Linked DNA regions of Cricetulus griseus. The protein of the gene in region 2 purifies or fractionates together with the protein of the main gene of each other region. This does not show direct contact. Links are inferred from orthologs where the notes say so. Each region holds a gene or a part of one and is shown on either strand. Other genes may lie near its edges.

Evidence for each region.
Region 1: the proteins of Hnrnpr (region 2) and Fus purify together in Homo sapiens (affinity purification with mass spectrometry; 4 studies listed by BioGRID and IntAct, with this or other methods). This does not show direct contact. The link is inferred for Cricetulus griseus from reciprocal best matches to the Homo sapiens genes HNRNPR and FUS.
Region 3: the proteins of Hnrnpr (region 2) and Dhx9 fractionate together in Homo sapiens (co-fractionation; 3 studies listed by BioGRID and IntAct, with this or other methods). This does not show direct contact. The link is inferred for Cricetulus griseus from reciprocal best matches to the Homo sapiens genes HNRNPR and DHX9.

The regions. Positions count from the first base shown.
Region 1 is NC_048596.1:72,807,139-72,810,888, forward strand, and holds the start of Fus (RNA-binding protein FUS), read right to left. Parts: upstream 2,214-3,750; 5' UTR 2,102-2,213; coding exon 2,089-2,101; intron 171-2,088; coding exon 146-170; intron 16-145; coding exon 1-15. UniProt on the Homo sapiens protein: DNA/RNA-binding protein that plays a role in various cellular processes such as transcription regulation, RNA splicing, RNA transport, DNA repair and damage response. Binds to ssRNA containing the consensus sequence 5'-AGGUAA-3'.
Region 2 is NC_048595.1:16,986,802-16,990,451, forward strand, and holds part of Hnrnpr (heterogeneous nuclear ribonucleoprotein R), read right to left. Parts: intron 3,349-3,650; exon of another isoform or gene 3,346-3,348; 5' UTR 3,334-3,345; coding exon 3,177-3,333; intron 976-3,176; coding exon 857-975; intron 169-856; coding exon 61-168; intron 1-60. UniProt on the Homo sapiens protein: Component of ribonucleosomes, which are complexes of at least 20 other different heterogeneous nuclear ribonucleoproteins (hnRNP). hnRNP play an important role in processing of precursor mRNA in the nucleus.
Region 3 is NC_048598.1:38,208,212-38,211,861, reverse strand, and holds part of Dhx9 (ATP-dependent RNA helicase A), read right to left. Parts: intron 2,617-3,650; coding exon 2,464-2,616; intron 1,046-2,463; coding exon 885-1,045; intron 34-884; coding exon 1-33. UniProt on the Homo sapiens protein: Multifunctional ATP-dependent nucleic acid helicase that unwinds DNA and RNA in a 3' to 5' direction and that plays important roles in many processes, such as DNA replication, transcriptional activation, post-transcriptional RNA regulation, mRNA translation and RNA-mediated gene silencing.

The DNA.
Region 1 (3,750 bases), on a different chromosome or scaffold from region 2:
GGATAGGCCCCATAGCTAGGAGGGGGGAGGGGGAGAGGATCAGAAAAGTTATCTTCAATTGAAAGAAAAAAAGCATACAAAAACAACACAAGTTACACTGACCACCCTTACCACCTACAAACTCCAGCCCAGAAACAACACTCACCTTTGAGTTGCTTGTTGGGTATAGTCTGTAAAAGATGAGAAGGGGAAAAAGTCATGTTAATTTTAGTTAAGACTGGAATAGAATTAAATTCAACTTAAGTACTAGGCACTCTAAGAAGAGTGGTGATGAGACAAACTCTTAATCCCAGCAGAGGTAGGTGGATTTCTGAGTTCCAGGCCAGCCTGATCTACATACAGGAGAGCTAGTTCCAGGACAGCCAAGGCTACACAAAGAAACCCTGTCTTTAAAAAAAGAGGTACGAGGCACTCCAGATCACATTAAATCTACAAAATGCCATTGCAAAAACATGCAGGCATTAAGTCCTTCATGAAACACCAGTTGTGAGGAAAGCAAACTGAATACAAGTTTTAATACAATAAGCAAAGACACAAATTCCTAGACACCAATAAGTCTTAGATTTCTGTTTTGTTCTGGGTAGAAGCCAGGGCCTGGGCCATGCTAAGCTAGCTACCAGTGACACCAGTCCAAGGCACCATACAAATATTTCTGTGGATAACTATTATCTAAAAACATTGCCATGGGACTGTTTCTGTATTTATAGTCAAAATTTTTGTTTTTGGATTTTTTTGAGACAGGAGTTTCTATTACATACCTCTGACTGCCCCCGAACTCACTATGTGGACCAAGCTATGTGGAACTCACCATGCAGACTCAAAAAATCCCCGTCTCTGCCTCCCTATTCCTGGGATCAAAGCAGTATGTGCCCCCACACCCGGTTCAATTTTTTTCTTCAAAAAGTCTCAAAATACAACACAGACGGTCCCTGAACTTTAAAAATTTTCGTCTCGGCCTTTCCAAGGCCTGCAACACACACCACATGGAGTCCATTAGATTAACTTGTACAGTCACAGAGCTATCACACCGTTCGAGTCCAAGCAGTCTGAAGAATTGTGACCCTCCAACACCAAACAAATGCCTTTAAAAAAAAAATCCATTCACCTTGTGACTAACCTCGGAGACCTTAAGGCAAAGGGGAGTTTTAGTACAAAGCCAAACAAGGCAGCAAAGCTCTTTGACCCTAAGTAGCCTCAAGGCTCCAAGACCTGTGGCTCCCAGCGAGTGTGCTCCCGCCTATCGTGCGCATGGAGAAGCAAAGACGGTAAGCAGTAGCTCGGCTTCGAGCAGGAAACCCAGGGTCTGCCCCCGCAGGAGGCAAAAAAAAAAAAAAAAAATGACAGCCAAGAGGGTGTGGCCTCGGAAGGCGACTCCTTTGGTTTCCTTCCTGCCTCAGGAAAACTAAATTCAGAAACGGGAAAGCCCTCAGGCCGGATCCCTGAGTCCGTTCGTCATTTTCCCCAACCTCACGGACACGCGGGCCAGTTGGGAGCGTTTTCGCTCCGGCCCGGAGGCGCGAACAGGACAGCCCCGCCCCCTCCCGAGGGACCCGGGGAGCAGGGCGAGGCCAACACCGGACCAGCAGTCTTCCGCCGAGGGTCTCGCGACAAAAAAAAAAAAAAAAAAAAAAAAAAAAAAATCCAAACCAACTCGAGGCGGGCGAGGGGGAAAAACCGCGCCGAGAAAGGGGGAGGGGCCAGAGGAGCGCGTGCGCGCGCCAAGTGCCCGGATGCAGCACTGCGACAAAGCGGGGCCCGGCAGGCCGGGAGGGAGGGGGTGGGGCGCCGCTAGAGAGACCTGGCGCTTCCTCTCCCCTCACTCCACGTCGCCAGGCAGCGTCCCTCTCCACACCCTCCCCGAGTCGAAGGGCCCAGAGAGCCCTCAGACTCCGCGCCAAAGGCCGCCACAGGAGCCAAACAAAATGGCGACACCACCCTCCCCTGCCCTCCTCCCGCCGCTTCCCGCCACAGAGGTGCGGGAGCCCACACTCGCACGCCACCACAGGCCCACCGAAAACTCAAAAGTCTGGCTGGGAGGGAACGAAGGCTCCCCGGGACGCGCCATTGCCGCCTCGCGCCCTCACATACCGTTTGAAGCCATGTCCGCGCACGCGCGCACAGGCCGCCAAGCAACAGGGTTCCAGACGACTGCGAAGGGACGCCGCGAGGACTGAGCAGCCCCGCCTCCCGCGCCGACTTTAAGTACGCCTCCCGCCTACGCGCCCCGCGGACGTACCAAGTGGGACGGCGCGAGGGGGGAGCGCGGCCGGGTTCCTGCCCCTTCCCGAGGAAGTAGAGGACCCAGAGAGACAAAAGAAAAGGGAACTCACTTGAAAATGATGTCCTCGCATGCACTGTCATCTTGAGGATAATTAGCTCTCATCCGCCCTCCCCCCGGGGCCCGGCTTCGCCGCACTCCTACCCCTCCAAAGGTATAATGGTACGATCCAGCCTCCCGCTATGGGCGGTGCCAGGGCCCTGAGCTTGAACGCAGAACTGTAGTCGAGGCCTGGAGTCCCCGGGTGTGGGAACCGAAATTCCTCTGACGGGGCCCCTCGGCTGGGCCCCACTTTCACTGGCTAGAGCGTGCTTCCGCCTGCCCTGGCCGGTCAACTAAGCCAAACGCAGTGTGGTCGCTCTGGCTCTCCACATTCTCTCCTGAAAGCATGATCAGTCTCTGTCCCTTTTCTCGGTTTTCACTTAGCGGTGCCCCAGCTTGCTGTTCCTTAGACCTTACCAAGGTTTGTAGATTGTGACGTTTGACCTGAAGGAATATGGGCTTTAGCCTGGATCCCATAGCCTAGTCTGGTTCAACACTAACATGTCTACCGCTTAAGTGGTTTCGAAACCCACAATTTCCCACCTTTTTTATTTTTTATTTTTTGCCTCTCAGCACAGCCCAGCTGACCTCGAATTCATGATCCTCTTTGCCTTAAAGCAACGCATTCTAGTATTAACAGTCGACCTGGTTTTCCCCATCATCATCTTGTAAAGAAAATAAATGTATCTGTCTGCTGCAAATGAAGTCTGGGGATGTAGCTTAATGATAGAGTGATTGCTTAGCCGGTGCGTGACCCTGAGTACATCTCCAGGCCCGATCCAGGCAGAGGTGCCTGTGAGTAGGGTTGGGATTTTAATGAGTGCATTCAAAACCCAAGACTAAGAACTTGCCCTGAGTGTAAGGCAGTTCAGGGTCAGACCTTCTGATGTTTAAAATCTAAATCTATGAAACTACAAAATGCTTCTTGACTACATGAAATGATTTAGAGCATTTAAAAGCCTGTGTACTTTTTGTAAGGGAAAGGACAAATATGTAATTCAAGGGGGCTGGAGAGATGGCTCAGAGGTTAAGAGCACTGGCTGCTCTTCCAGAGGTCCTGAGTTCAATTCCCAGCAACCACATGGTGGCTCACAACCATCCGTTGTAAGATCTGGTGTCCTCTTCTGGTGTGTAGATATACATGGAAGCAGAATGTTGTATATGTAATAAATAAAATCTTAATAAAAAAAAAGAGCACTGACTGCCTTCCCAGAGGACCCAAGTTCAGTTCCCAGCACCCATATGGCGACTAGCCACTGAGAAACCTTGCCTGGGGAGGGGGGGGGAATACTGCTATCACAATACCACTTTTTGTTTGTTTCTTGTTTTTTGTTTTTCAAGACAGGGTTTCTTTGTGGCTTTGGAGGCTGTCCTGGAACTAGCTCTTGTAGACCAGGCTGGTCTCGAACTCACAGAGATACACCTGCCTC
Region 2 (3,650 bases):
TGTCAGGAAGAGTCGGAATTAGAGCTCCTCATCTATACTTCAACCACCAGTCATGTTTACCTTGATCTTCGCCTCATCGGGCCCTTTCGTGGACTCCTGCACCTTGCTGCCCTGTTTCTCTCTCTGCCTGTAGGTCTTCATAACTCCACATAAAAATGCACTTTTGTTCTAAAACATGCAAGCAATTCAAAAGGTAGAATTACCAGTAATCTTTGAAGGGTCAAATACACAATTAAATTTAATATTCATTCCATTCATTCAACAAATAGTTTGATGAGTAGTCACTATGGACCAGAGGTTGGGCCAGACAGTGCCTCAGGGAGCTTACCTTCCAAACTGGGGAAAGGAAAAAAAAGTTCTTCTATTTGTTAATATTTAATTGAAGCTGAACTATTTTTCCAAGATGTCTAAAAGTATTTCTCACACTAAAATAGAATAACCAAAAAATTAGCTTTCTTTTCTTCTTTTTTTTTTTTCCTGAGACAAGTGTTTCTCCTGTGTAGCTTTGTAAACCAGACTGTCCTGGAACTCAGATCCTTAAAGGCATGTGCCACCACTGCCCGATCCCAAAAATATTTTTAATGTAAGCAATTCAAGCATATAAAACCTTAACAATAACAATAATCAAGCCATGGCTTTAAGTTTTTGAAGAAACTTACTGTATAAAAGGTGGAGGAGACTTTCGCTTTGTGCTTATGCTTCTGAAACTCTTTGACCCAGATCTTTTTCCCTTCAGTTTTTCAAAGGAGAGATAGTCACAAGCAAAAAAGACCAGTTCCCCACAGGGAAAAGAATGCCATCATAGTGCAACAGCTGCAGATCACTGCTCAGAGGCATTTGCTAGAACTGACCTTACCTGAACATGAGATAAGTCACTTTCCTTGAACTGCTGTAGCACAGACAGAGCTCCTTCTTCATTAAATTCCCTGAGAGCATCAATTGCTCTTTCATCAAGATCGACATAAGCTACCAACCCTAAAAACCAAATTGAAAAGGGTTAACATTATTGCACTAAGAGGCTAAACTCTCATAGTAAGAGCTGTTACATTCAATACTACCTCTGACAAACTACATTCTCATTTACTTATATGCATATACATAGTTATACAAATAAGATATAGCAAATACAAATACAAAAATCAAAGATAAAATGTCAACAACTATAAACATGAATTTTCACTTTAAAAAAAACTTAAGATCCTAAAATGTTTCCAACTCCCCAAACAGCAGTTAAGTTCTGAAAGTCTGATATACACACTGTACTAAAGATGCACCATTCACTTAAATTCTGGTTTATATTAGAGTGGCAAGAAATACCCTGTATTTGATAAAGATAAACATTCAAATTACAGGTTGTTGCAATTGTTTACTATAGAAGAGGTAGGAGAAAATATAAGAAGCAATTTTACTTAATTCTTTCCACTCCAAAAAGTGTCAAAGGTTTTCCCTCCTTAGCACCCAAAATAAATTAAAATGTGTTTATCCAAGCATCTACTTTGCTGCAGTCAGAATGTGGAAGGGCATAATTTTAAATTATTCTACAAATGCAAGTGCAGCTTGCTAAATCAACTCTGAATTTCAGATTTTAAGTCAGTCTTTTTCTCTTCTGAAGTAACAAGCTGAGACTTAAAATATGCTGTGGCATTCACAACACTGTCAATAACGACAATCTCTTTCAAATGTCAGTAAAAATGTTACAGATTTTTAAATAAAGTATGCAGAATATATATGCTGCATTCTACATATGTAGTCTACCTAACTACACACAGAATATCTATGTTTAAAATAACTTACTATATAAGGAATCTTTTCAGAATTGGACCAATGTAAAACAGAAATATTTGACAGATTAACAGTCCCCTCCCCAATTCCATATGAACCAACACCAAAAGTGATTCTATTTTGGTAAAGCCAAAAAGAACTTTATTTCATACAGCAAATAAACTGAAAATAAATATAATGCCACTTGGAAAGTTATTGTTAAAAAAAAAAAAAAGTTGCCATGTCATGTTTTAAAAGCTCAAAATGAGCATGGCTAAGTGACTGGAGTTTCCTTATACTTGAGTATTTCATACCACCACCCAAAGCCACAACTCAGGACAATCATCAATCCATCCTGTCAATCCAACCCTACACCCAAACCATCAGCCTCTTAGCAGTAACAAAACACTATACAGGGAGCGTCTCTAAGCAGATCTCTGCCAGTTCTCTAGGGCAGATAGAATGTCACAGAAAGTTCCTGAGAACTGGTTTTCAAATGGGACCATCACCCAGGAGTCATTTTTATAAGCCATTTTAGTATCTAAAATTAAATCTCAGTTGTGAGATTTAAAATATTTTAAGGGAAAAAAAAGCACAGCTATTTGTCTACTGTACTTAAGACACATTTCTAAGAGGAAGCAGTTCAATTCTCTCTCTCTCTCCTGATCTGGATAGGCACACAAACACAGAGGAAGAAAGTTTCCATCTATGGCCCCAGAGGAGGACACATTTATTTACGAACACCATTCCCTAAGGGTAAATATTTCTCTCCCTCTTTAAAACTTCACCACTTACAACCAACCATATTAAGATGTTCAAATTTTCGTAAGCACTTAACCATGGGACTTACACATTAAGGAAAAAAAAAAACAAAAACAAAAAACAGCTGTTACAAACCAAACACTTCCAAATTACGGAGAGATGTGTTATTTCTGTCTATTAGAAACTAGACAGGCCACAAACTCTCAAGGAGTCTGACATATGTTATCATTTCAGACAATACAGTCTAACTATTCCTCTTACTATGCCACCTAATCAGACCTAAGCTGAATTAACACTCACTTTTAAAAAGCTAAAAGTAGAAAAGTAAAAAACAAAATGATGACTGATTTAGGTTAAGGAAAAATGTAAAATTTGGTATGCTGAAACATACATTTTAATTGGTAGTAAATCTAAGACAAATTGATGTTCTGTTCTGATACAACTAAGACTGCATATTCAACACTAAGAAGGCTTCAAAATAATGAAACAGGAATATCAAGACAAACCCAATATGCCCTCAATGAAGGGAAAGTATATTCAGCTCTACACAGATCAGAAACAGTAAGCATTATTTAACCTTAAAAATCTATAAAATTCAACGTGGTTTGCCCTCACTTTCATAACCAGTCAGAAACAAGAAATGCATATTATACCTGTCTGAAATATTTCATCAAGTCTCTCTGCCACCTTCTGTGGGAGGCCTGCCTCTATCAGTGTCTTGTAGTGCTCTGTGTGAGTTACACTGGAAGTGTCCATGGGTTCCTCCTCTTCTTTTAACTGTACCGCATTACCATTCACCTGATTAGCCATTTTATTATGCTGCTGCTGGAAAAAATTCAGGAGCTATATTACATTAAGCCAGAAATAACTAGTTTGTAGGACAATGCATGATTTATCTGAACTAATTTGTACACATGCTGCTAATAACAACTATCCAGAATATTTAATGCCTTTTGTGAGCATCTGACCTAAATTTTCAATAATAATCTTGTGAAACTATAGAAAATGTACATGGAAGCATTAGATCCTTAAGCAACTTCATGTACTCTGGGTTAAAGGGCTTGAATTTACTGAAGGTACAATTGCTGAGTAACAAAAGCAGCCATTGTGTTCTGGGGAGCAGATCA
Region 3 (3,650 bases), on a different chromosome or scaffold from region 2:
TCAACTCATCATTGGCATCTAAAGCATCAAGTTCTGTGGGAAAATACTTATTTGTGAGTGATAATGTCATTAAGTATGTTAATGTTCCATCAAGTGTCAAAGCAAGAGTCAAAATTAATGTCAAATGCCTAGAGCAAGCAATTCAGTTAAAAGCAAACAACTTGCTGGGCGTTGGTGGCATACGCCTTTAATCCCAGCACTCGGGAGGCTGAGGCAGGTGGATCTCTGTCGAGACCAGCCTGGTCTACAAGAGCTAGTACCAGGACAGCCTCCAAAGCCACAGAGAAACCCTGTTTCAAAAAAGCAAAAACAAACAAACAAACAAAAAAACAAAAAACAACAACAACAAAAAACCTCAATATTGGTATATGAAATACAAAAGGACTGTTATAAAACTAGGTTCTAGGCAAATGGGAACCAGAAATACAGTAACAGCATCAGCATTGAGCACCCACACATCTAATTAAAAAAAGAAAAAAAAATCAAAGCTCTAAGACATCACTATAATATTAAATACAGGTCTAAGAGTAATCTATGGCTGGATGGTGGTGGCACACGCCTTTGATGCTCTAGCACTTGGGAAACAGGCAGATCTAAGCTCTATCTAGGCCAGCCTTGTCTACAGAGTGACCAGGACATCTAGGACTATTTCACAGAGAAACGCTGTCTCAAAATAGTAATCTGTGCACTGATTCCTGAGACGTAGCATTCTGTGTTTTCTAAATGAAACTCGTATGTATACTCCATTCCTTCATCCTTCAAGCTCATGAAAATTGTGACACTAGCTAAGAAGCCTTTAGTTAAGGCTCTACCAAGTCTATCTTCATCTGACATACTTGTAAAATAAGAATTGTCAGGTAAAGATAGCCTAAGGTAGCACTTACCTCTAAGAGTATGCTCTGCTTCAATTACAGCATCCAAAGGTGGAGGTTCAATCGCCTTTGCAAGGAATTGGCCAATTCCTCCCAGGCGCAGAAGTTTTATACTCAAAGCAATTTCATGTAATGGTGTTCTAAACATCTCTGGTGTCATGTGGGTTTCCAGTCTAATATTTAGAGAAGCAGAAAGAGAACAATCCTCACCTATGCATACAATGACAAGCATAAATAGTGTCAAGTGCAACAAAAGGTGACATAATACAAATCCTTTGTCTATATTACCCCCAAAGGCTCCCAGGGCCGACCAAAATACTTAGCCCTGGGCTGGGCAATGATGGCTAACGCCTTTAATCCAGCACTTAGGAGGCAGAGTCAGGTGGATCTCTCTGAGTTCAAGCCAGCCTGTACTACACAGTGAATTCCAGGCCAGGCTCCAAAGCTACACAGAGAAACCTTGACCTGAACAAAAAGAAAACCAACTAAACTAAAAACCCACACAACTTAGTCTTGGAAACATGTTACATGCATTTCATGGTAACTCCATCACCAGACCAATCTGACAAGTTACACAGTAAACTCAATATAAAAACAAACAAAAAAACTCCAAAACAAAAAAACCAAAAACACCCAGGTGAAGAGCATTGATTGCTCTCTATAGCTCCTGAGTTCAATTCCTAGCACTCTGATGCTCTCTTCTGGCTTGCCAGACTACACGCAGACAGAAGAGCATACTAAATACATAAATAGAGAAATAAAAATGTTAAAGAAACCCTAGCTCGAAAAACTAGAAAGTCCACATTTCTAATTTAAAGTGTTTCTAATAAAAAAATGGCATGATGAAGACTCATTGGATTTGGGCAGTGGTGGCACACAACTTCAATCCCAACATTGGGAGGCAAAGAGAGGTGAATCTCTGAGTTTAGCCAGGTTTAATGAATGAGTTCCAGGAGAGCCAGGGCTCTGAAAAAACCTCAAACAACTGATTGCACATGAGATTATAACTCTAAAACCCTAATGTTTACAAAACAAACAAAAAAAAACCCAAAAAACAAAATACCAGGAAATAGGACTTACCACACTAGAGAAAGAACCCTCACTCAATACTGAAAACATCAAAAATTGGTAAGTGGTTTTACCAGAAGGTCTTTAATCTCAGCACTCAGACAGTAAAGGCAGGCACATCTTTAAGTTCAAGGCCAGCCAGTTTCAGGGTGAGACCCTGTCTCCGGCCCACAACCAACAAAAAAGCAAAAAACTGATAAAAGCAATGTAACTGATGTCCACAAATCCTTTTATTAAATAAACCAACACTGGCAACTTCTCATTTGTTTTCAGTCTCACTATAATCCCATTATTCCAGCTTAAATATACCTTACTGAAGACACATAGGCATGGAGTTAATGGAAAGGGTAAGGGCGGAGGCTGGCTAATATATATAAGGTTAAGAATAATGCCCATCTTTATTTAAAAACATATCTCACTGGACTATCAAGGCAGCTCAATGAGCAAGAACCCAAATGAATTTTCTCCAAGTTGTTCACTTACTTCTATATAAGGCCAATCCCAAATGAGAGAGAGACTTTACCTGTCAAAACGAGCTCGACTACAAAGATGAAAGCAGAACCCAGGTCGTACACGGCCAGCTCGTCCTTTCCTCTGCTCAAGGTTTGTTTTTGATGCCCATACAGTAGCATAGTTGGTCATATTGTTGTGAGCAGTAAAGAGTTTCACTTTTTGTCTGAATAGGAAAAAGTAGTTATCAGAGACAGAACACGTAATAAACGACCAATTTTATTATGTTCTCTGACCTCCCAATCCATTTAAAGACATAACATTATCTGTCCACTTGAACTAAGCAAAATTATGACATGCTGGAAGTGAGATTAACTGAATCCTAGAAGTCAGCTAGTGAGTTCTAAGCTCAGTCAGTGACAGACCTTATCTCAGAAAATAAGGAAGAAAATAAGGTGTGCTTAGAGGACAGTGACTCTTTCACATGTGCATTAATAATGCTCAAATGTAGCTGGGCGTTGGTGGCGCACACCTTTAATCCCCACACCCCCAAAAGTTCAAATATAAGCCAAGTCTAGTGGTCCAGGCTTATCTTTCAAGCTACTTGGTAGGCTGAGCCAGGAGGATCACATGCTAAAAGCTTGTGTCGTCTACAGAGTGAATTCCAGGCCATTTCTGAACAACTGTGAGACCCTGACAAAAAAAAAGAACACTGTCCTCTACGATAGTAAGCTTAAAATAAAGTCCAAAACTCGTTCTTAACATTAACAGTGTTGTGACTATACTTCAACAATAGGGTACCTAGCTGGCATGTGTAAGGATTGAGTATAGGGGAGGGCGGAGCTGAAGTCAAATTGGACCCCAAACAAAAATGATTACATGGCGTGTTTGAATTCACAAATAATCGTAAAATTCTTCAAATTTGTAACAATTGGTACACATGACTATGTGACTGAGACTAAAAATGCTGTTAGTGTTGGGTAAAATAGCTATTGGCAAATTAAATTCCACATGACACACTTGTATTCAGAAATAAAAGTACAACAGGTATTGTAATTTAAAAGCAGAGCTCCAGAGAGAAATATGCCAAGAGAAAGGGTTTTTTTTTTTTTAGGGGAAAAGGATTGTAAAAGGGGGAAAGGGGAAGGAAGAGACTCACCTTCAGGGACTGTTGCAGTGGGAGAGAGTAAAAAGAGGTGGGGGAGAAAGAGAGAGTGGGAGATGGGGAGGGCCATTTTAATAAGAGGGGACATATCGAAT